4 linked regions of the Schizosaccharomyces pombe genome follow. The protein of the gene in region 4 interacts with the protein of the main gene of each other region in a pairwise test. Each region holds a gene or a part of one and is shown on either strand. Other genes may lie near its edges. The genes, in order: tea3, ntu1, hal3 and ypp1.

What was found.
Region 1: the proteins of ypp1 (region 4) and tea3 interact in a two-hybrid assay, tested with the Schizosaccharomyces pombe proteins (one large-scale study listed by BioGRID).
Region 2: the proteins of ypp1 (region 4) and ntu1 interact in a two-hybrid assay, tested with the Schizosaccharomyces pombe proteins (one large-scale study listed by BioGRID).
Region 3: the proteins of ypp1 (region 4) and hal3 interact in a two-hybrid assay, tested with the Schizosaccharomyces pombe proteins (one large-scale study listed by BioGRID).

What each region holds. Positions count from the first base shown.
Region 1 is NC_003424.3:3,213,830-3,220,377, forward strand, and holds tea3 (cell end marker Tea3), read right to left. Parts: upstream 4,445-6,548; 5' UTR 4,239-4,444; coding exon 861-4,238; 3' UTR 684-860; downstream 1-683. Other genes in the region: DNA-binding transcription factor Thi1, read left to right, coding at 1-477; cardiolipin-specific phospholipase Cld1, read right to left, coding at 5,123-6,409. UniProt on the Schizosaccharomyces pombe protein: Acts as a cell end marker required for efficient new end take-off (NETO), whereby growth is activated at the cell end to generate bipolarity in extending cells. Also required for proper placement of the septum.
Region 2 is NC_003423.3:4,241,745-4,248,651, reverse strand, and holds ntu1 (regulatory protein ntu1), read right to left. Parts: upstream 4,908-6,907; 5' UTR 4,653-4,907; coding exon 4,563-4,652; exon of another isoform or gene 4,495-4,562; intron 4,293-4,494; coding exon 4,262-4,292; intron 4,155-4,261; coding exon 1,792-4,154; 3' UTR 1,226-1,791; downstream 1-1,225. Other genes in the region: SPOM_SPBC16G5.17 (transcription factor), read right to left, coding at 1-834; DNA-binding forkhead transcription factor Fkh2, read left to right, coding at 5,990-6,501, 6,794-6,907.
Region 3 is NC_003424.3:3,721,579-3,726,874, reverse strand, and holds hal3 (thymidylate synthase), read right to left. Parts: upstream 3,120-5,296; 5' UTR 3,043-3,119; coding exon 1,165-3,042; 3' UTR 954-1,164; downstream 1-953. Other genes in the region: ect1 (ethanolamine-phosphate cytidylyltransferase), read left to right, coding at 1-953; rpl42 (60S ribosomal protein eL42), read right to left, coding at 3,856-3,876, 4,067-4,366; SPOM_SPAC15E1.02C (uncharacterized protein), read left to right, coding at 5,119-5,296.
Region 4 is NC_003424.3:4,541,402-4,547,446, reverse strand, and holds ypp1 (cargo transport protein Ypp1), read right to left. Parts: upstream 3,612-6,045; 5' UTR 3,374-3,611; coding exon 3,365-3,373; intron 3,326-3,364; coding exon 3,214-3,325; intron 3,158-3,213; coding exon 690-3,157; 3' UTR 501-689; downstream 1-500. Other genes in the region: vma2 (V-type ATPase V1 subunit B), read left to right, coding at 1-367; SPOM_SPAC637.03 (uncharacterized protein), read right to left, coding at 4,084-4,893. UniProt on the Schizosaccharomyces pombe protein: Involved in endocytosis.

The sequences.
Region 1 (6,548 bases), 1.3 Mb from region 4:
AGGTGTGAATTTGCTAGAGAAAGTCTAAACTACCTTAAGTCATTTAACAAACAGTTATCTAGGCGCAATGCCCCAGACATTAATAATCCGATTGCAGATTTCCAAAATAGTTTTCAAAATTGGCAATCCTGGGTGGGAGATATGTCACATGGAGACATGCTTTCTACCTTTAAGCTTACAGGAGAAAGCTCAAATGGTAGTAATAGTACTCCAAACGAAGCATTCCAACCTTTTGACCAAACATCATCTCTCTATAATGTTCCGGGTCTAAACAAAAGTTATGTTAGTAACCAACCCAGTTTGCTCACACCTGAAACTTTTCTACCGGATCCAGTTCTCAATTTGGAAGTTGATAAACAATGGACGGCTCCTACGTTTTTGAGTTGGACGGAACTGCTAGGCCCTACTAATGTCTCTGAGCAGTCTTCGCATACTGCAGAGCAAACTTCAAATTTGACCCTTGAAAAAAATGGATGAATCTTTAATGGTTTTTTGCAGGTCTTTGTTTGTTTTAATTATTTCTACGTAATTCATCATATGCTTTGTTCGCGTGGTTAAGGAATTAGCATTTAATACCAGTTTAGTAATTTGCACTTGAGAGTATCCTCATCAATCTAATACTTTAAATTTTCTCTTACTTTTTAAAAGTTAATTAAATTTCATTACTTTTTAAAATATAAATGAGTCAATGTAAATGCAGTAGAAATAATTGCGTATTTTATTGTTAAATATAGTGGTAATTTACATACGTAGTCAAACGACTTGAGATTAAGTAGAAAAAATCAAACCACTTCAAAAAATTATTAAGAAAATTGTACAAACCAAAAAAGAGATAAAAAATCCTTAGTTGATGAATAGAGTTACATAAATGAATGACTAAGCTGCTGAAATGACTCATCTGAGCAATTGGCATATGTTATGGCTTTTTGATAATCATCCTCCAGTTGCTTAATACGACTGGCATAGTAATTATCATCAATTGCACGCATTTCTTCACCTGAAAATGAGCCCGCGGTATCATTTAGTTTTGAGCGAACATCATAATAATCTTTAGATACCTGAGGGGACAAAGACAAAAATTTTTGCTGACTGTTGATAACATCAGAAAGTCTTTTATGTAAATCATTGTTATCCGGGGCTTTTGTTTCTTCAGATGTCATCAAATTACCAAAATGATTACGATATTTTGTAAACACACCACCAGAAGGTATGTCAGATTCTTTTGAACTATGTGCAGCACTAGCATTATTGAATGAATCCTCTTCGTTAAAGTATGATCTTAAGGGAGAGGAGGAAGCTGAAAAGTCCGTAGGAAGATGAACGTCAGTAGAGTCCTTTCCTGATAACTGTTGATTCATTTTTGAATCAGCCAATGCAATTTGTACCTCAGAGAGCTTACGCTGAGTAATTTTTGCTTGCTCGGTAAGATCATTGACCTGATCAGAAAGTTTACTTTTCTCTGTCATTACAGAGGAATATGAATGCTTTAGATCATAGAGCTTTTGCTGAGAATTTAGTAGCTCTTTAGTGCGACCCTCACAAAGTCTCTGGGACTCACGTAACAACTCGTGAAGCCCTTCTAGCTGAGACTCCAAGTAGGAGATCTTTTGTTTCGACTTCGAAAACTCTTTAAGATTATCTTTATTTTCGTTAATAGAAGATAATAACTTTGATAATCCGCTTTGCATTATAGCTTTCGAGTATTTAGCATCAGACACTGATTGTTCTAAGGCTGACTCCAACTCTAGCGCACGAGATTGCAAATTTTCCAACTCAATCCGAACATTCTCATATTCGTACTGTAAATTTAAGCACTTCTGTTGCAACGTACTTTTCTCATCCCTTTCTCTACGGAGCGAATCTTCAAAAGACAATATGGCAGTATTGGACACATCAAGAGCACTAGCGGATGCTTCAATCACATTTGTCTGCATCTCCACTCGATCATGCATCTCAATTAGCTTCGTTTCCAGCTCATAATTTCCATACTCCAAAGCCTCGCAACGAGAACGATAATCGACTAACTCTTCTGAAATTTGCAATATCTGTGATTGTAGGTTTTCATTTTCTTTTTGTAAAGATAGTATTTTTGATGAATCTTCTTCAAACACACTACGAAGTTTATCATAATCTACACAAAGTTTCTCATTTCGAGATTTTAAGAGTTCAGAAGCGGATTCATTTTGCTTCAATAACTGTTGAAGTTCAGTATTTTTTTGATAATAAGAGGTTGCCTCTTCAAGAGTCCCTTGAACTTCGTACTCTAACTTTCCAACTTTTTCTATTAAAGATCCAACAGTTTCGTCCGTTGTCTTTTTCTGGATCAGTGAACGTGAATAATTTGCATTTTCCACGGCAGCATCTCTCTGAGCAGCCAATTTTGCGTTTTCAGATGCTAGGCTAACGATTTGCTTTTTAAACTTTTGTTCATTAGATTCAAGCATTTGCTCAATCACCTTCAGTATTTCCAAATAACTGAGCTGCTCTTTTTTCTCAAGCCTCAATTTTTCATCAACGTGTTGAAACAGGTTAGGAGGTTTGAGAGTATAGCCTTGTTGCATACAATATAACAGTTGCTCCTCAAGCCAAGCTACACGATCATCAGAATTAGAAAACTTAAAATCTGATTGGAGTTTAAGCAGAGAATTACTTTCACTTTCGTTGATTGGAGATGAAGATTCGGAAGACCTAGAAATAGTATCGTTTCCATTAGGTAAAGGAAGAGACGCAATAGGTTTCTCAATTTCGTAAGCAAAGGGGTCAGCTTGCCCAAACTCGTGAAGAGAGAAATCTGCTGAATGATTCATTCCAGAGGTTTTACTAAGGTTTCTCAAAGAATGTAATCCTTGTTCATCCAAGCTAGCATAGTGCCGATGCCTAGCTGATCTTACGGCTTTTTGATTTTGCTCCAAAAAATTGTTAAATTGACTAGACGAGGTGGATGTCACAGAATTCTTTTTGGAATGATTAGGACGGTCGTTTAGGTAACCAAGAGAAACCGTGTGGTTTGAAGCATTTGAAGGTTTCATGCTAATATGCTGAAGAACAGGAATATCAGAAAATTTATCCTTATCCCAATACAAATTTTTGGGATCTGCTTCATAACATAACAGTTGCTTAGGAGCGTCAAGTGCATTAAGATATAATAGTAAAATATGATTGTTTTTTGAAACAATTTTGTATGAAGATGAATCAGAAAGCAAAATAGGGATCGGATTTGAGACTAAGGACCACCGCTGTTGACTATAATTAAAAGCCCAAAGCTCGTTGAGTATCAACCCTTTATTATCACGACCACCATAAATGTAAACCGTGTCATCTATTGTAGTAGCTTGATGACCTTCCCGCGGACCTGGAAATCTTCCTATAGAACGAACCTCGGTCCATGAAAGTGTTTCTAAATCAAAAAGCCAAAGATCACTTAATGGACCAGTATCATTATGCCCTCCATGTACAAATATTTTTCCTTGGACAAGAGTAACTGAGTGATTTGAACGAGGTGGAGGGGATGAGCTATGCAAAAACGGTGTTTCCCATGACCAATCAGTCTCATCAAATTCCATATTAGCCTTTTCAACATTATTTGCATTTGCCTTTTGCTTGAGTTCTGATTGCGTCCTCCGATCAACCCCTTTGGTATCAAACAAATGTATATCATTCAAATATTTTCCTTGACATTCACCCCCAAATATCCATAATTTAGAGTCAACTAACAACATAGAATGTCCAGTGCGAGGCGATGGTAAGGGGGACTGTGTTGAAACCAAATTCCATTGATTACTCTTGAAATTGTATGCGTACAATGAATTATCGCCAACTTCAAATGTGGAATCTGTTTCTGAGTCGCATCCTCCGAAAAGATAAATAGTGTCAGCAGAACAAACGATAGAATGACCAACTCGAGCAGGAGAATCATTGTCTTCCCCTCTATTGTGAGAATAAACCGTGCATGAATCCAGGTCCAACTTAAACAAAGAGTTTGAAATACCAGATTTTTCTCGTCCTCCATGTAAGTACATGAATTTTTCATTCGCAGCATCTAGACAAGAAGCCGGTTTTACAGCTTCCCATTTAAAACTTTGGTTCGTAGATGTCCTTTTATCATTTTCTTTGACTTTGCGAACAACCCATGCACGTATATTTTGCTGATCAATGCTACCGGATTCCACTACATCAAGCTGTTCAGCAGACACATCCTGAGAGTTATCCGATTGACGGCTTAAAACCTTTTGAACCATGTATTGCGATCTTTACCTTGCAAAATCGCTTACTGGTTTTGCAGTTGCAGATGGTAATCAAAGCGAAAGTTTAATCCAAGGAGTTTTTTAAAAGGTTCGGTTTTTACGCTTAAAAAAGAAATAAAATAGAAAAAATATATATTTTAGTTTTAAAAAAGAATTAAAAAGTAAAATTTTCGAAATAATATGAAAAGAGCATAACTTGTGGAGGGTAATGGAAACACACAGTCCATCAGGAAACGGCAACTTAGAGTAGAGAAGTCTTAGAACAACGAATACAATTGCAATACCCTACAATAAATTTTTGTAATACTGTATGATGTTTATAATTTATATCTTCATTAAACATAAAGAAGGGAGAGTAGATACAAGTTTAAGCGCAATAGTATACATTACCGTTGAATGCTCTGTTTGAATTGAAATTTAGAAGTACGAAATATGCTTCACGTTTGAAAAGCTTAGAGCAAGAAAAATGTATTTTTCCAATTACTCTATAGGATAGAATTTAAAATAGACAACCACAAAAACTGTTATTTACTTTATAAGCTAATTGTAGTAAATGGCCTACAAATATTACAAAATTTGATTTATAAGGCACATTTTAAAAATAAAACATTTGAAAACACATGCTGGACAAGTAATCGGACAAAAAAATAAAATTGCGATAAATGAAGCAAATGAGCGTCAATGCAATAAAAATCGATTCAAAATGGACCGATAAAAAGTTAGGTAAAAAAAAGTCGTTCAATTGGAATCCAAAGAATAATGTGTAGTATAAATTAATGAATGAGGTCTATAACAGCATCACATGGGATAGTTTGCAGGACAAGAAAGAATAAATAAAAATAATGAAGCACTAAGCGAAGGGCATAAAAAATAAAAATTTACTCTGAAATCGAAGAAAAAGAACGTAAACTCATTCGTATCTCCTTTAGTACAATCTCATTAAAATCTTCAGGGTTATCAAGATAGCAATGGTGACCAGCATTTGAAATTATGTGGTGCTCCGCCTCAATATTCATCTCCTTCAATCTGTTTGTCGCTTCTAAACCAGCAACATCATCCATCCAATCTTTATCTCCATACATGAATATAGTTCGACACTTCAACATGCGCAAGCGATTCATAATACATCGTCTAGCGAAAGCTCCGGGAGCGAGCAAATTGCCAAGTGCATACTCGCTGGAACCCTTGAGACGAAATATTGAGTAGCAGTAATTATGTAATGCCCTAAACGTTTCCGGGGGAAGCGTTGAAAACCTTCTGCTAGACCAAAAACTCATTAGTTTAGGACCTAAAGGCCCGCTTAAACGAAGTAGAGAAAATGGTGTAACATTTTGCTCCCATAAGAAGGTGATAAATCTTGGAAGAGGATTCTTTGGCTTGCTTGGCCGGGAAGGCTCTAAACCTGTAGTTTCCTCTTGGGTTTGCAGAACCTCATTAGTAACATTACTTAAAGGAGGTTCATCCATAACAGCATGCACAGCAGAGGAAGCAACGGAATTGTAAACTTCCGCATCATCGTTGCTTGCAAAAGGGTTTTCAGGAATGGCAACTGGACTAACTAGTAAGAGTTTCTCAACACGTTCCGGATATTGCATGGCGTAGACAGCAGACAAATAACCTCCCATACTATGGCCCACAAGGATCATTTTCTCGATACCATGACCGATTCTCCATGTTTCTAATGACTCAGTGAAAAACCTCTCTGTTTCTTCGACCTTCTCTGAAGCGGTTTGCCCCTTGATATCGAAAGGCGGTCTTGACGAGTTTCCCATGCCTAGCCAATCAACAAAATAAGAATTAAAATCCTTTGTCACACCCTTAGTCAAACCATCCATGTTCCGAAAGTAAAAACCAAGACCAGCTCCATACCCATGCATGTAAACAATGCTTCGCTTGTTCGCTTTTCCTGTTGCTTTATCACTAACACAAACCTCATGTACCAATCCATCATTATCGTAGATTTTGGAATCTACAACTTCAACTAACCTTTCTGGGTCCTTTTCATTTTCCCGAATAAAATCGACAGTGTGCAGGACTTCACGCTCACATTGTTTCGCATATTCTTCAGAGCATGCTTGACGCCATTGCCTCCAGGACATGCCAAACGTTTGCGTATAAGAATTAGCTGCTTCCTCACTTCTCACCGCGACTTTCACTTGGCTCATAGTAACGGTGCAAACGCTGAATTCAACACAAAATGGTCAATGAAGGAGTCAACCCCGCGATAATGACAATACAAACAAATTACTGTTTATGAACTATTTAAAACAAAATAATTCCGATATTTAAATAAAATTCCGGATA
Region 2 (6,907 bases), on a different chromosome or scaffold from region 4:
AAAACATGCGTAATGAATTGCATAACATAGATCAGTGTTCATACTTCGAAACTGGTTTCGCATGCAAAGTTGCGCCCTTATAGCATGCAGTCGAATTCTGTCAATATTTCTCCATAGTCGAAATATTACCTCCTCATTTAAAAAGTCATCAATTTTTGAATTTAATGCATCCGATAGTTCAATGGCGCTATGATTAACAGCCGAAAAGTATCTTTCAATATTTGAAGGAAAGGATTCTAACGAAAGTGCTACCGCAATTGCTGTAACTATTAAAATAATAGAAGTCGCGAAAACATGGTTAGAATTTTTCAGATCAGATAACAATTTATCAGCTTGCTCAAAATCTAAAATATAATTTGTTACATTAAAAGTATTAGCATAAACTTTTAAAAGGCTTTCGCATACATCCCAAGGAGGGATAGTTTCTAAAATACATTCTAATCGTTTTTTCAATTTAGGATCCGTTTCTAAAGCTTCTCTTAAACGTGATTCTGGATCTCTCTGAACAATACCTTGAAATTCAGCCGAAGATTTCAAAATTGTTTTCCAGTCTACGAATCCAAACTTCTGGGTTTTAGGGAGGTTGTTTTCTTCCAAACGCGTCCGAGTCTCTTGATGAGCAGAACTATCTGTTTCTCTAGTAATTGGTCGGCTTAAAGGTTCTTCAAGAAGTTGGACTGCTTGCTCGTTTACTCCATATGTACATGATTCTTCACTCTCTTTACATCGAGAACAAGGATATTGGCGGTCACATTTGACTTTTCGGCGCCTGCATCTCAGACAAGATCTAGCTCGAATATTTTTGTGGGCCCTATTTTTAGATTTCCCAACCATAATTTACCTAATTACGGTATTTCTTCTGTAGTAGAAAGTTGGATATTTCTATAAAATACAATTCACCATAAAAAATTATACGCACAAACTAAAGGTTTCATTCAGTATTAACCTGATAACCATCGAACTTTTAAGCTGGGATTATGCTTCAATTGAATCGATGAGACTACTAATATTTTACTGCAAACATTTTTATGAATGCAAAGGCGGTGTCAACGTTGTGTGGTGGTAAATATTGAGTGTGCAGGCTTAATTATTTAAATTCTTCAACGTCTAAAATACAGTGTAAGCATCAGATCTCGATACCATTTTTTTCGCAGAGCTTTTATTTAGAAGATTTTTATAGGGATCATTTTTTTAGCCTAGATGCCAAAGGTACTCAACAATACGTTCCACAGTTGGGTTTGCAGTTGCTTACAAAATAAACAGCTAATTGTCATTTTAGTAATTATACATTCCATCGTGAAAGAAAATGCACACTATTAAAGTTTTTAGTTCATCAATTGCTTTGCAGTAATCCATTATAATGTAGAACTTCAACGTAACTTTACTCCAAAATTTTTAGCTTTTAACACTACTTGGTTATTCATTGCTGATAATAATGCGCGTAAATATCACTAGCTAATGGACATGAAGCAGTAGGCTAACTCTCTAAGCTTGATCAAAAGATCAAAAAGCAAATCTATCACAAACATCTAGGAAGACAGATAATCTAGATATTCAATCGTTCTATTATTCAATAAACATAAAAAGCTAATCATCAACCAAACAAAATATCACTTAATTAAAAGGAACAAAAAATAAGTTTTTTAAAAATGTCAATGTTTTTTCTCATGAGCAAACCCTAAAAGTTGGAGCTAGAACCCTTATTAAAGATAAAAAGTGAAGCAAGAATTATTGCAGAAAAAAAAATTTTGAAAACAAAAGTGAGTTTCTATGCTTAACAACATTGATCGCTCACTCGGTTCTTTTAGAGTTTGAGGAACTTGGATGGTCAGGAGAATTATTAGAACCATCTCGGACAGTAGGATAAGCAACTTGGTTAGTCATGGAAGGTGGTTGAATGAAGGGATACGGCATGCCAGATTTTGCAGCTCCAGGTGCCATCATAACCCCTGAAGTAGGCAGTGGTAGCATTTGTTCTGACAAGGGAAAAGGCGGGTGCTGGTAAGGATACTGTGAATATGCTTGGAAAGCCTGAGGCATATTCGAAGTTGGACTCATGTATGGAGGGTATGAAGTATTATACGGGAAAGGTACTGGAGAATAGGTGTTCGGAACATAAAAACCATTCGCTGTTGGCATTGAAGAACCATAATTAATCATAACCCTATCATGAGGGTATACATTACCATCAGAATAGGAAGGATATCCGTTTTGTCTAGGATAAGATTGATCCTGTGTACGCCCACCATACGTAGGCATAGGGAAATTTGTTGGTGCATTTTGAAACTGGGCAGGATTATAGTAACCTGGGTAAGGAGCATCTGAATAAAATATTTGTGCTTGCGGAAACTCTCTAGGTATATTACTAGTTCTCTGCGAAAAGTTGTTTGGTAGTTGTCCTGTAACATCCGGGGTCGCATCCAAATTTTCAGTACCAGATGAGTTCATATCATACGCAATTAGCAAGTTCTTGATTGCCTCCATTATTGTACTATAGTAAGTGGATTCGCGGTATATCATTTGTAGACAATGAAATCCTAATCTTGCCTTAGTTATGAAATTATTAGATTTATTGGCATCGTCCTTCGTCAAAGTAGCACAATATGTCAAGGTCATTAACGCGTAGTATCCAGAATACAAATTGAAAAACAGTTTGGGAGTATTTGGAGATTTGGCCAATTCCTGTAACAAAAAAACAACACGCTCCGCAGATTGTGCACACTTTAAAGCAAAATTTGCAGGTTTCATTGGCGACCCATTCTGATTATCAATTGGTGTACTAATACTGTGAATAAAAGGGCGATAGAAAATGAGTTCTATTTGCCTGAATTTCAATTCCAGTATTATTGCTTGGATCCATTTGGGTGAAAATTTTGGAACTTCGCTCATTTTTAAATAAGAAGGTAAGTTTTTCCACCAATATGTAAGTTTTTCTTCATGATCACGAACAGCTGGTAATGAAACTTTACAGTGTGAGTCAGAGGGCGATTTGACTGGATACACTTTCCTTACAAAATGACTTAAAATACGAGAAAGCGTTATGTGTTGTATAAAAACTTCCAAGCTAGTGCATTCTGATGCTATTAATCGTGGAGGAACCTGGTCATTTTCTAATGTGAAATCAAAAGAATTGGGTAACGATTGATCAATATCAACGTCCTCAATACTGAGAGGAAGACCAACAATTGTACTGGTGTAACAAGCCAAAACGTACACAGAATAAAATACCCGTTTGGATAACCGAGATTCATGAGATGTGAGAACGTCTGAAAAATCCTTGTGCAATCCCAATTCGTGGCAACACAATAACGCATTATTCGTGAACGTATAAGCTTGAGAAAGTCGGGAACTGAACAAAGCAAAAAGCGCAACAGACAATAAAATTTGCACAACTTCAATCGTATAACTATCTTCCCATGAAAATGAAGACCGAATGTAATAGTAATACTCGTAAGCTTCATGATAAGGATAGTTAGCACTAGGAGATTCATCGGGCATATAGGTGTAACCCAAGCACAATGTAGCGACAAGTAAAAAATGAAAATTGTTATCAGTCTTGCCAGTTTTGTAATACATATGCATCTTCTCAAAGAAAGATGCAGGATGATGAATATGTACCAAAAAATGGTCATTCATAAAAAATTGGCTAACAATAGAAAGAGCCTCCTCATATGGAGGTAGCTGAATTTTGAGAGGCGGTTTTTTATGTTCATCTTCGGCAGGGGTGGGTGGAAGATACGGAAAAGATAAAGGATCTGGCTGAGAAGAAGATGAATTAGATTCTTGGACAGGATTGGGAACCGTAGAATTCCTCGCAATGTTTTGATGTATATTTTTCATAAAGACAAAGCCAGAGGAACTTCCACGAAAGTCGGCTTTCCCATCATCTTTTAAACTCAATTGTCCATACCGGTCGAATAAGCTTTCAAACTCGTCCTGTGACGAGCTTCTTTTAGAGGAATCAGAGCGTTTCCAAGGAGATTGGTTCACAGGAGAATCTTTGTCATTTGGAGGAGCCAGAAATGATGGCAACTTTAAATTTGGATCGCTTTCTTCAGCCAGTCCCCTCAGATATTTCAATCGAAGCTCCAAAAATTCTATATACTTCTCAGGAGCATGCCGTAATCGCTTAAAAGGTTGACCATAAGTACATTCTTCAACAAAGTTAGAAAACTCCATCCAATTATAATAGAGGCTTGAAATAAATTTTAAAGCGACTAAACTTGAAGAAAATAATCTCATCTAAATTGTAGGCACTTACCATAGTTATATGCTATGCAATTCGAGCAAGGCTGAAAAAGTTAGTAAAGAACAGAAATTTATATTTATTTCTAATCGCTCATCCAAATTAATGCAAATAAGATAGAAAAAGAGCAATAAAAGCCAAAAAAATAATAAATTAACGACAAAGGTTATCCGCATGCTCTCTAGCTGAACTGAAATCAATCAAGCTACAATCAACTTCAGAGAAAGCGGTAACTGGGTGAAGTGAGTTCTCAGTTCCCAACTCAAATAATAAAATTATGCAAAACATAAATAGAGCAAAGAAATTGACATCTTACCCTTCTCTGATCACATTTGATCTTTCTCCTGTGACATTCATCACATGCTCTAGAAACACGCTGTCTACGAGATACATCGCCGGAAGACATTCAGCAGCCTATCAATAAACTATGTTGAAGCCTGCTAACTTCAAACTTGAGGGAGAACAGGTCTTTTAATTTGTATTTATCGAATCGTTGTTACCGGTTTTTACAACCGAAAGTTAACGCAAGTGAGCAAAAATGCAGTTTATCATTCAAAATTTAACGCTTTGAAACTAAAGGAATTTGGTGCTTTAGATAGGTAAATAAATAAATAAATGGTGATCGCTGCGAAGCGATTATGGATGATATACGCGACAGGTTAAACCTACGAGAGTGTGTGCCAGCGATCGTATACATCCGCTAAATAGTAATTACTCGTTACTTCACGTTAGCATACATGTGTAGGTGAAGCAATGAGATTATACCATGCTAAATGTTTTTGTTGCGGTATGTTAAATATCGTTATAAGCCTGACATCTTCACGTGTGAGTTCTCCAATGAGTCCTGAAGCTGGAACCATCAAGCCGTTTATTGACTATTTTCAATATTACTGAAGAAAAAAGTATGGGAAATAAAGATCATTCAAGATCAAGTTTGTCTGTTCATGTAAGCCACATATTATTTATTATAATATCAAAGTCTCTCCGTGCCTGAGTTATGTTCGGTAACTGTATATTGCATAATACTTTCTGTTGTGTACCACACATTATAGTGCGCTACGAACTCACCAAATAATATTACGTATCCTACAGAGACTTCGCGAATCGCGTAGTTAGTAAAAATATGGAAAATAACGTGAGTAAACAGTTGAGCGTTAATATTGCAGCCACACAAAATCGGTTGATTGAAAGCGAAATAATGATTCGGAATTTCCATAAAACACAATTAATACTCTTAGTGTATTCATGTAATAGCTTGTACAGTTCTCAAAATAAATCTTCAGTAGACACGTTTTAAATAATAGGGTAATTACTAGGATATGCACGCGACCGTTAGACGCCATTACATGTGCAAAAAACACTGAGTGCTGAAAAGCTAAAATTATTACAAGTCTTGCAGAGTTATGATTGTTTGAGTTTTTTTTTTTTATAAGTTAATCCTACGCCAATATATTAAGAGGATTTTTTTAACTGCTTAGTATTTAAAAAAGTATATCGAAGATCCGGTATCTTGATTGTTTACAAAAATATAAATAGCAACGATAACAAAGACGCATTGTTGACAAAAATAAAAAATGTACAAATATTTAGAAAAATGTATATTTTAATTTCTATGTATCTAAAATGATGGTCAATATTAGTTATACCGTGAAGCGCTGGCAACGGAAGGTAAACGAATGTTGACAACAACAAACGAGTGTAAATAAACACACACCAACAGCACAATTGCTGTAGAAAGGAAAAATGACTGTTCGCAGACTCGAAAGCAAGTCTGAGCATATATCAGATGACGAGGAGAGAAAAGAACAGTTAGATTACAAAAAGCAAATGGATGTAGACACAGATCGTAACATTGTATTGAATGGTCGCCTGGAATCCCAAATTGCGAAGTTGTCCGTTCCACCTCACGAAATGAGAGTGGTCGATGATTATTCGAACAGTAAAAATGCGGAAAGACACTCTGGAGAAATACAAGCTTATGCGAAATTCGCTGGAAGTACATGGACTTATTATGTTAAGAAAATTCGAATTATACTTGGTCGCGAACCAGCAAATCCTTCACCAAAGGGGAAAAATGAAGATTTAGAAGTAATTGATATGAATTTTGGTCCTTCTAAAGTTGTGAGTCGAAAACACGCTGTTGTGGAATATGATTTGGATGACCAAACATGGAATTGCTCAGTTTACGGTCGAAATGGCATTAAAGTAGATGGCAAGTTATTCAAGAATGGGGAAACAGTCAAGCTTACAAGTGGGTATGTTAAAAATCATTTACTAGAATAGTGTTGGTTCGTCGTGATTTGCGACAGGACGGAATATTGATGGTTTCAGCAGCGCATAATTTATGCTTTACTCTTTCATAAGTTCTATGGTTTTCTCGTGTTATTTGTCAATTTTAAACGAATGTTTGGTTATTTTATAAATGCGCGTTAAGGATTTGTCAAATTATCAAGAAAATAATTATTTCCGTCCTAGTTCAAATAAATGCAGGAAATTATGCCAATTATTTTTTTTTATTTCTTTTTCGTCTTACTAATTATCTACTAGATCTATACTCGAAGTAGCGGGTTTACAAATGATGTTCGTACTACCCAATGCAGCTGAGCAAAAGCAAACTGACGAAAGCACTATAAAGGAGGATGCTATAAAGTCTGAAATTTC
Region 3 (5,296 bases), 820 kb from region 4:
CCCTAAACAAGGGACCGCCTGTTATGACTCTTGAGGAGCGTTGTTTATCTGCTAACACTTGTAAATGGGTCGATGAAGTGGTACCCTCTGCACCATATGTGTTTGATTTGGAATGGATGAGAAGATATGGGTGTCAGTATGTTGTACATGGTGACGATATATCTACAGACGCCAATGGAGACGATTGTTATAGATTTGCTAAAGCAGCAGACCAATACTTAGAAGTTAAAAGGACGGAGGGAGTGAGCACTACCGAGCTCCTAGATCGATTACTTAGTTCGGTTCCTTTAGAGATTTATTCTACACCTGTATCGGTACTTTCTTCCCAAATTGATCTCCTCAGAAGATTTGCAACTGATTCCGACGGGCTAACTCCTTTTACTGATGTTTTTATATATAACACTGAGAAGCCAGAAACCCTTATTTCGGGCACAACCTTGCTAAGGTTGAATCCCGAAAAGAACATAATATACATTGATGGTGATTGGGATTTGTTTACAGAGAAGCATATTTCTGCTTTAGAACTCTGTACTCGAATGTTTCCGGGTATTCCAATTATGGCAGGTATTTTCGCGGATGAGAAATGTTTCGAAAAGCCTATGCTTAATCTGTTAGAGCGTATCTTGAATTTACTACAATGCAAATATATATCTTCAATCCTCGTTGGTCCTCCACCAGCATCTTTGTTTGCATCTTCTAAATACATAAAGTTATGTTTTGATGAGCAGATCTCGAAAGTATATTACCCAATATTTTCCACTGACGTGAGCATACCAGCGCTTGACATTAGCCTTTCCAATACCCCAAATAATAGTTTTTATAAATTTGATAAGCTGGGTTCTGATTTGATTAAGCAGCGGGTTATGTTACGTCGGCAGCATTATGAAGAACGGCAGCGTCGAAAAATGGGTAAAAATGCTACAGAACAAACGACCATTAAAACTTACGCATAATTTTGCTCCTGGTCTTAGTAATTAACAGCATAATATCCTTTTAAACATCTTGTCGTTTCTTTTAAATAAGCTTTAGCAACTTTTATAAATGAACATATACAATCGCTATTAAACTTTTGATATCCATTAACTAAAAAATCTATTACAGAGAAATTGTGTTTCAACTTCAAAAATCATCAACGAAGCAAACGTATATAAGAAAGGCTAATAATTAGACACTCATTTTCATTTTAATAGGGCCATAAGGATTATAACCTTCAACTGCGAAATCATCAACGCTGAAACTATCAATAGACCCTATGTCTTTAGCATCACGTTTGAAAAACAACTTAGGGAAAGCTTTAGGAACTCTTTCCAACTGAGTTTGTAATGCCTCTAAATGATCATTGTATATATGACAATCACCCATTACGTGAACAAATTCGGCAGCTTCATAGCCGCACATGTGAGCTATCATATGTGTTAAGAGAGAATAAGAAGCAATGTTAAAAGGAACTCCAAGCCCCATGTCGGCAGAGCGCTGATACATCATACTAGAAAGTTGGGGCTTTCCCCCAGGCTTGCAAGGCTCACTGACATAAAACTGGCAAAATATATGGCAAGGTGGTAAAGCCATTTCAGGAATAGCTAATGGGTTCCAAGCTGAAAGAATTATACGACGGTCATAAGGGTTTAATTTGAGGGTAGATATAACCTGAGCCAGCTGATCCACTCCTTTATTGGTATAGTCAGTATCGCAATCAACATATTGCGCTCCGAAATGTCTCCATTGAAAACCATATATAGGACCGAGGTCACCAACTTTACGATCAGTAAGCCCTCTGCTGTCTAGGAATTCTCTACTGCCATTGCCATCCCATATATGAATCCCTTTTTCACTTAAATGATTGGCATTAGTATCACCGTGAATAAACCAAAGTAACTCTTCAAGCACACCACGTAAAAAAACACGCTTTGTAGTGAGAAGAGGTAGAGTATTATTCCTTAAAGAAAAGCGTAGTTGTGGAGGAGCAAATACCGATCTCGTACCAGTTCCCGTGCGATCGGGCCGCGACTGGCCATTTTCAAGGATATATCGAATCAAATTTAGGTATTGCTCTTCTTCTGTATTTCTATATTCGGAGGAAGTAAATGGTACAGGAGGTTCGGGTTTGGTAGTAACATTTTCAGAGGCCTGAGTATCCACCGATTCCGAGCCTAATGGAGCTTGGGAGGTCTCGTGATCTTTGCTTATAGAAGATTCTGTAGTAGAGGGTAAAAGAGAGGCCTTGGGGGTAATATCTGCATTTGCAGAAGTTTCAATCATACTGTTGGATTGTTCATTATCATCAACATCGTCATCATCATCATCATCGTACTCTTCAAAAGCAGCAGTTTGTTCACTAGAGTCATCATCTTGTCCATCGATGTTTTTCACAGCGTTCGGCAAGACAGACTTTTGTTCTAGCTGCAATTTATCGGCAACTCTGCCTACAATGTTTCTCCATTCGGCCATACCGCCCATGCCAATATCACCACAGGCAAGCACTTTCTCGATTGGCATGATAAATTCACTATTCTTGTATATTCTGCTAATAGCGCTCAAATGTTCCTGAGTTATAGGATTAGTCCACATCAAGGTATTCATTGCGGGAGCCAAGAGAATTGGTTTTAAAGGGGCCCAGGCACGTATAAGAGAGGTAAGTAAATTGTCACAGAGACCATTTGCCATTTTGGCCATAGTATTTGCACTTAAAGGGGCAATTAACAAAAGATGTGCCCATCGACGTAGCTCAATATGTGTGATAGGACATTCGAGTCCGTCCCAATTTTTCCAATCATCCGCATTGTTATAAACATTGACACCCAAAGCCGTTAAGTCCTCTTTCTCAACAAAGTTACGAGCCGGATCCGTTAAAACGACTTGAACGTCGACGCCCTTGTATGTCAGTAGGGATTTAACGATTAATGTCAATTTTATCGCCGCAACCGAACCCGTTGCAGCGACCAAAATATGATATTTAGAATCCGTAAGTTGTCGCTCTTTCTCAAGGATCATGGGATTTTTTACAGCCCTGGTAGCAAACCTGGCATGCAAAGGTTGTGACATATTGGCCAACGAAACGAAAGTAATTGACGGGCCTTAATGTTGGTGAAGCTAGAGATTATAGATGCAGGGAGAAGGTTAGATATCGATTTATCTGGTACTGCAATTTAATGAAACTTTTATAAACTCATTGAAGCGCGTTATAATGGTCGTCCACAAAAACAAATTTAGCAATTGAACAAGCGAACCTTAGTTTTGCAAGGGAATTGTACACGTCGTACGCAGAAAAACAAAGAACGTACGTTGCTTTAGTACCAAAAAAAAGTAATTATTTATTATGCCTGCAGTGTGAAATCCAAGTGCCGTTATGCAAGGATGCACTACACTCTCACTATTAGCAATTAGTTACTTAATATATCCATAATTCGGCAAATGGCATAGTCTCCTAAACCTTAGAAGACCCGTAAGCATGGATAATTTAAAGAAAATTTTTTTGCAATACTTGAAAGCATATTTGATGCTTTAGTACTCTCGCTATTTTACGCTGTACTTGTTTGATTACTTTTATCTTAGTTAACATGCTGACAAATGTGATGGGTTATTTTCCGAAATCACAACACCTGTCTTCTACTCAAGCAGTAATACAAGTCTTGAAAAGCTCTGACTCAAACCGATGGAACTAGAAACACTCGAAAAAGATTGCTCCAATATTGAGAACAGACCTTAGCGTTAGCGAACTGCTAATTGATGACAACTCATCACTTTGTGTGCTACTCTATCGGAATCATGTCATTATTTATACAATACAAATGAAACACTACTTTGAATTGCTTTTAGGATCACCGTAAAAGAAGAAAATTGTATTTGCTAAAACACTTAGAATTGGATAGCAGCACCCTAAAATGATTGTTAGTAGATGAAATAAAGAAAATGATCGATAATAAGGATGAAACTCAACAAAAGACAATTCATAAAAGCGCTTTGCAAAATTTTTTTTCTGGATTTGAGAGGTATTCAACCACGGCAAAAACTCTTTTACAAATTCGTCTAAATCCAATCCACTCGTTATCAGCATTCTTCGACATACCTTAGTCTTCTTTTCACCACCAAGCTCGAAATGCTTGCAACGCTTCAAAACCAATTGATTCTTGTATTTGCAAGAGACGCATTCCAAACGAAGGACAACCTTCTTGGTAACCTTAGCCTTCTTGTGGAAAACGGGCTTAGTTTGACCACCAAAACCACTTTGCTTGCGGTCATAACGACGCTTACCCTGAGCAAGCTTGGAATCAGGTCCCTTCTTGTATTGGGTGACTCTGTGGACAGTGTGCTTGCGGCAGTTCTTACCAGGACAGTAAGTCTTACGGGTCTTGGGAATGTTCACCATTTTTTGATACTTTTATAAGTGATGGTTAGATGGTGGTGATTAGGAACTCGACAGCATAAAGTTTCTCTGCTAAACCCTTGTTGTACAAATGTGACTGTTTCTTATTCCTCTAGGTTAGGTTTACTTGCTGCTGTAATGTCGTTCAACGCACTGTTCGCAATAGTGTGAACAACCGATAGCTACCCTAAAAGTGTTTACTGCGTAAGATCAAGCTTGCAATATATCAAATGTGGGCCAGCAAACAAAATTTCTAAGCTACATTGTTTTAGTGCTGGAATTTCAATCCAACTTTGATTCTTCTGTGAGGGCTTTTTAATGTAAAACATGCGAAAATTATTGTAGTAAATTTCTATTTTTAATCACTAGTTGTTACCATCGCTGCACTCCAAATCTTATATTTATCGACTTCACTGATTTCTTTATGCAAGACTTGGCACAGCATCCGAACAGTATGAGATATTGCTCCACCAAAAGTTTAGGAAAATGATGTAGATATCACTATGTAAATAGCGAAATAGCGACTTAAAACAAGTCAAGTCAGGCTAAGCAGTATTTCCCAATTATCATACTTCATCGACACGTCAAAGTGACGCCCCAAATTAATCTGTACCTAAATCCATAATTGGACCTTGAGTATACTATATATTTAGTGGTAGCGCCCTTAAATCCTTTAATTACAAAACATTTATTTTACAAAATATTCACATTCATATTAATCTTGTTCTAACTCAAACTAAATATTAATACAAGAAATGCCATCCTACACTCACATGCCGTATGTACGCCCTAGTGCAATTCTCTTGGGGATTGCCTTCGACCATGCTGCTTCTTTCCTCGTTTATGGACCCCTAATGGGCGATATTTGGAAAAGGGCAATGAGCACTGCACCTCACGTCGAATATGACGCTGGAAGTAAAACCAAGAAGGTTG
Region 4 (6,045 bases):
TGCCATTGGTGAAGGAATGACTAGAAATGATCATGGTGATGTTTCTAACCAGCTGTATGCAATGTATGCCATCGGTCGTGATGCTGCTTCCATGAAATCAGTAGTTGGCGAGGAAGCCCTTTCTCAAGAAGATCGCCTTGCTCTTGAATTTTTGGGTAAATTTGAAAAGACTTTCATTAGTCAAGGTGCTTACGAGAATCGTACTATTTTTGAAACACTGGATTTGGCTTGGTCCCTCCTTCGCATCTTCCCTCGTGAGATGTTAACTCGTATTCCTAAGAAGATTTTGGATCAATATTATTCAAGATCCTCTGCCTATACTGAATCTTCCAAAGATGTTATAGACAACACTCCTGAAAGCTCTTAGTTTTTTGACGCTGCAAATACAGACCAAATAATCGCTAATTTTGAAATGTCCTTGAATCGTTATTTTCGGTGCAATTATCTAATGCTATTTGTTTGTTGGTGATTTGGAAAGAAGACTGTTATAGATACTGATTCAAGGTGCAATTGCTTCGTTATTAATTTAACACAATGTCATAAATAACATTTATCTATTTATGTCTATTATGTGAGTTCATATTGAAGTTACAATCACTACAAAGGAAACATATAAATTACTATTGAAAGTGCCTTAAAGTTTGTAAATTCAATTTATAAATAATAAAAGTCCAAAAAATGTAGACAGTTTAAACGTTCATAAACCTAGGCTGCAAGTTACTCCATCGGCGTACAGGGTTTGTATCAGCTAGCTGGATGCAATAATCATACGAAAACGCAGCTTGTTTTAAATCACCGAGTTGACGAAATATTTCTGCAGTATAATACCAAGCTTCTGGTAGATCCCAGCCATACTGCAAAGTACAGCTCGATAAAATAGCATCTGCTCTATTTCTACGAGAATGCATAGGCCCATAGCCACCTTGTAAAAGACACTTTGCAAGGGCCGTCGAAATTAAGGGATCCTCCGGGTCTAAATAATGAGCAACGTCAAGTTGCTCATACCCTTCAACTTCTTTTCCCTGTTGTAGTAAAGATAAACCATTTAAATAGTACACCCAAGCACATTCATGGTCTATTTTTTTAGCTTCTAGTAAAGCGCTTCGTGCTTGATCATCATTTCCACTTTTAAGGAAAAGAGATGCAGCGGTAAGCCAAAGCTTCTGATTGAGATATGATACGGTTTTACCACGACGTAACTGAAAATTTTCTTTATAGGAAGAGTGGGATTTTTTGCTTAAAACAGTAGATCTCTTAAGCGATGATTTCCTGGAAAACCCAAGAATACTTCCTTTTTCATTTTCCACATCTTTAGAGATTTTCTTGGATGATTTAATGGATTGAATAGTCGATCGTTCTAAAAGCGTTGATAATTCATCTGACGATCCTTCCTTTGATATCCTGTACTCATTCAAATCAAAAATACTAGCAAATAATGTAAATATTTCATCCTGGATATCCAGAGTAGCTTCTACGCCTTTTTCGGCTTCAAAAAGAGCTAGTTTCGTAATCAATAAATCGACCAAAGCGCAGCGGTCATTAAATGTCAAATTTGTCAAACTAATCTCAATAGTGCCATCTTCATTGACATGATTAATGCCCCAAGTTTCAAATACACTATCGATCAGCTTAATTCCTGCTGCGTATTGTTCAGAACAAGACACACACAAAACCAAAAGATGCCAAGATACAATACTGTACTTAGGGTTCACCTCAAGAAGTCGCCGAACAATTTGCATTGCATCAGTAATGGCACGTCTCTCCGAATATTGCATAGCCAAATGGAAAAGTGCATTTGTATTGGTTGGTTGCTTTTCTAGACATTTCTGGTAAGATTGGACGCTCTTCTGGTGATATCTTTCCCTTAACGAAGGGTTGTTAGCTTGATAATACATGAAAGAATAAGCAACTCCTTCTGTATGATAAATTAAAGGAGCAATATCGTCACGTTTCAGTAAATCATAATCAGAAGCAATTTTTGTAATATAATCAAGTATTTCAGAAACTTTTTTCAAATTACGAAGATATTGCGCATAAACGGTCATCATAACGGAGCATACTTCAATAATACTTTTCGGTTCATCAACAAACACTGGTTTGATATCAGAAAAAGAGCCAGCGACATCTGAATTTTTTCTTGCTAACCGTTCGTGAGATTTTACGCATAGAAACTTGTAAATTTCAAAAGCCTCGCTAGCTTCTTCAAATTCCTCAATATGCCTTAAAAAAAATACCAAAGAACGAAAAATTTGTTGTGCTTGGAAGCATTTTCCAGTAAGCTGATAAAGCATTCGAATCAAGCTGACAGTGATATCGTAAGATTTCTCTGTGTTTATCCATATTGATGTTGCAAGTTCAATAAATTCAACGGCGAACATGTTTTGATCACCAGCTTTAGGAAAAGAGGTAAAGTTACATAACAAAGACCCATAATCGAGGACAAGTTGAGGCCAATTTAAATAAAGATTTTTAACCGGACTTTTAGTAAAAATTTTTGATCCATTTGTATTAGTTCTTAAAATATGTTCCAAATATTTAATAGCTTGTCTGCTGGTAACTAGTTTATAAAGCAAATTCACGGACTTATGCTCGGTAAAATAGCTCAAGCATGTAGTAAGTATATTAGCTCTTTCTAATTGACTCGAACAAGCGCTTACAGACATTTGAGCATACAATGAATATGCAAGATCGCACCATCTTGTAAGTTCCGGTAAAGGCTTCTTGCCAATATTGGCATTTTGAATTAAGCCAATGGCCGAACGAACGTATTGATATGCAACTTCATCGTTAGCTTGAGCATATTGAGCTAGCGATGATAGCACTGTTGCTTGTAGGATGCATATACCAGTGGAAGTTTCAGTCCACGGAATTCCTTGAGGAGACCAATCTAAATCTACGGCTTCGGGAAATTTACGCTGTACAATGTATAATAACAAGCGTATGGATGTCTCCTGAAGCTTCTCATCTTCTGTGGCATTTTGAATGTTCAATGAGTTTAATTGACTTAGAAGAGGGTCGGTACGAGCACTGGGTAAAGCCGGAATTAGGGAATACTGATTATCTATTAATTTAGGCTCCAAAACGTTTGCAATATTTTTTAGTTCAGCAGTTAATGCTGATTTAAGAGAAGCTTCAATTTTTGCTAATTCACAAACGACTAAAAAAAGGTTAGTCTAGATGACAAGTGGAAAACTTTGACTGTAAATCACTCACAGGACTTTGAAGAGTTATGCTTATGCAATTTTCTAGCAACCTCAGGAATTGCCTGCCAATCTCCATTACATCTTGTTTGTTCTAGTTTTAGTTCATAGGTTTTTGCTTTAGCCTATATCAGTCAGTATGAAAACTCATAGTTTAGACGTACGGAAAACATGAATTTTTTTATAACTTGGTATTTGTATATATAAAGAGAAAAAAAAGGTCAAACGCAGTAGTTGGAACGTAAAATTCGTTTATAGAACTTTGAACGCAAACTTTAAATAAATTGATATATATTTACAGTAACAAGAAAAACGAAGGAATTGTAAAAAGAAAAGGTTTAAAGAAGGTATTTAACGCCTCAAGAATACCAAGATGAAGGAATTTTGATGGTTCGATATATGGAGTAGGCCAAGGTTGAATGGAGGTGCGTAACCGTCGGCATGAGAAAGTAATTGAGATATTGAGCTAAGTAAAGAAAAAGTAGTGTATACCAAGTTTTTTGCTTTAAGGGTTCTTTAATAAATACATGAAGCAAATAAGATTAAATAATTAGCGTACAAGTTAGCCAGAGTACGAATAGTTGAATATGATGACACTTTCGTGATCCATATAAGAATAAGCTGGATGTCTTCGTCAATGAAGTGCTTGTAAAGTTAGCACACGAAGCAACTTTATACTAAGAAGGGTGCTATTAACCATGATGAAGTTGATCGTCAAAACTATGCTTTAATCTGCTATCCACCTGAATTTTGAGTCGAAAGATTTATGGGAGAAAAATTAAATTTTTATACTAAAGTTAAGTGTAACATAATACAATTAAGCAAATTCATTATCATACTATTTAGTAGAACGGAGCAACAACATGCAGAAGACTACAAGAGTTTAAACTGCGGGTCCCGCGTTGTTGTCCTGAAGCAAAGGAGCACTCTCGCCTGTTAAAGCAGCGCGTCTCTGTCTGTAGGGAAGGAGGAAGAGAAGAGCAGCGAAAAGGGTCATGAGACCAGCAATGATAAAGGCGAAAATGTGTTGCAAGGCAAAGAGGTGAATAAACATTTGTCCAATACCGATTGAAAGGAAAAGGTATGCGCTGACGAGGGAAAGAGCCCAGTCATGGAATCCTAAAATAGGAACAAGATACATGGCGGCAAAGAACCAGATAAACACATTAGAAAAGACGCGGCAACCAATGCCGGTGCAGTGTAAAGCGGCAGAGAAGGCATAAACAACGAACCAAAGAGACTTGCCAAAAACAAGTTTCGAGGGCAACTTCATGCTAATCATCTCAACAAAACCATTTCTCAAGCGAAGCGATTGGCCGTACATGGTGAAAGAAGATGAGAATAGACACAAGGAAAAGAATGCAGTCCAGTACAGCTTCTCACGGGTAAATGCCCAGACGGTAAACACGACAAATACATTGTACCAGATAGATGTGTGAATAATGGAGAAGGTAAAATCGTTTACCTGATCACCAAGCATTAAAAGGGGCACAATCATCAAAAGGAAAGACAAGTATTCGACCAAGAGGTAGCCACCAAGCATGAACTTGTTGGCGAAAAATGGAGTGGCATGGTGATTGTAAACCCATTCAAGAGATGGTTTGGTAAACAAATGAGCCAAAAGGGTAGCAAAGCTTACACCCAAGGCTAAGACGAGCCCAATAATGTATTTTGACTCACGAGTAATTTGCATATTGAACAATTAAGTAGTAGGCGAAAGAATAAGAAGAAACTAGCGGTAATATTAATAGTACGAATTGGAAGAAGAAGAAAAAATTAAATTACAGGTCTTCTTTCCCGGAGATAGTAAAAGTAGCGAAGCGGCAATTTTCAACCACTTTTGGAATTTGGTTTGTTTGTGTTTTTTTAGATATTAACTAGGTTCCGGCAATACGCAAGGAATTGACGATAAACTAAGCAACAGCCTATGAAAGTCAAACTTTTTAAATTGAATAAAATCGTTGGTAAATACGACTTAAAAAAATTGAATTCTTCTGCAACAATTCCTCGTAACAAACAGTAGCAAAATCCTAAGCTTTTCTTTAAAAGCTAAACCAAGTGTTTGAAGTGGATTAAAAGTAAATTGTGTTAGAAAGCAACGTTATACGCAAACTTGCAAATATGTATGGGAGAGGGAAGGTCATAAAAGTGCGAGAGATTTAATATATATAGGCAGACTATTTAAATTTAGCAGACTGCAGAAACTGCCCAACCCATGCCTCCTTCCATCATCATATTCCTTCGTAATGCTTACGCAACGATGCCTTGGCATCAGCTGAAACCATGTATCATGGAGTAACATGTTACGTATATCGATGGGAATGTCAATAAGGCGTAAAATGAAAATTCCAAAGGCGCTGATTTCAAAGAAATTACCATTTGCTCGCGCTGAGAAATTATTTATGAGCTTTTTATAAAATCAACTGTTTTGGAAGATACAAATTTATGCGATGCCTTTTAACCCGGTTTTCAAAGCCGAATTGAAGCGACCACAAAGGCCATAAGAATGTTGCGAATTGAAAGTATTTAGGAATTGGTAGACATACATTGGAGAGTGTTCTAGTTTATCAATCGCATTTCTTTTTTGTAAAGCATTTATTATTGGAGTCCAACTAAACCGTTTGCTTAAAATAGCTTGGCTTGGTATGGCATAGCAAGGCAAATTAATGACAATCGCAATTCAGTTCGATACAGGGCATTGAAGATAGAAGCAAAAAAAACACAATTCTTGAAAGTTTTGGATGAGTATCCGTTCATCCAAATGATAGACTTTCTCGGGTTGTTGGATGAGGATCTCCTTTAGCCGTGGATTGTTCTGTATCTTTTCCGTATAAGAAAACCACAA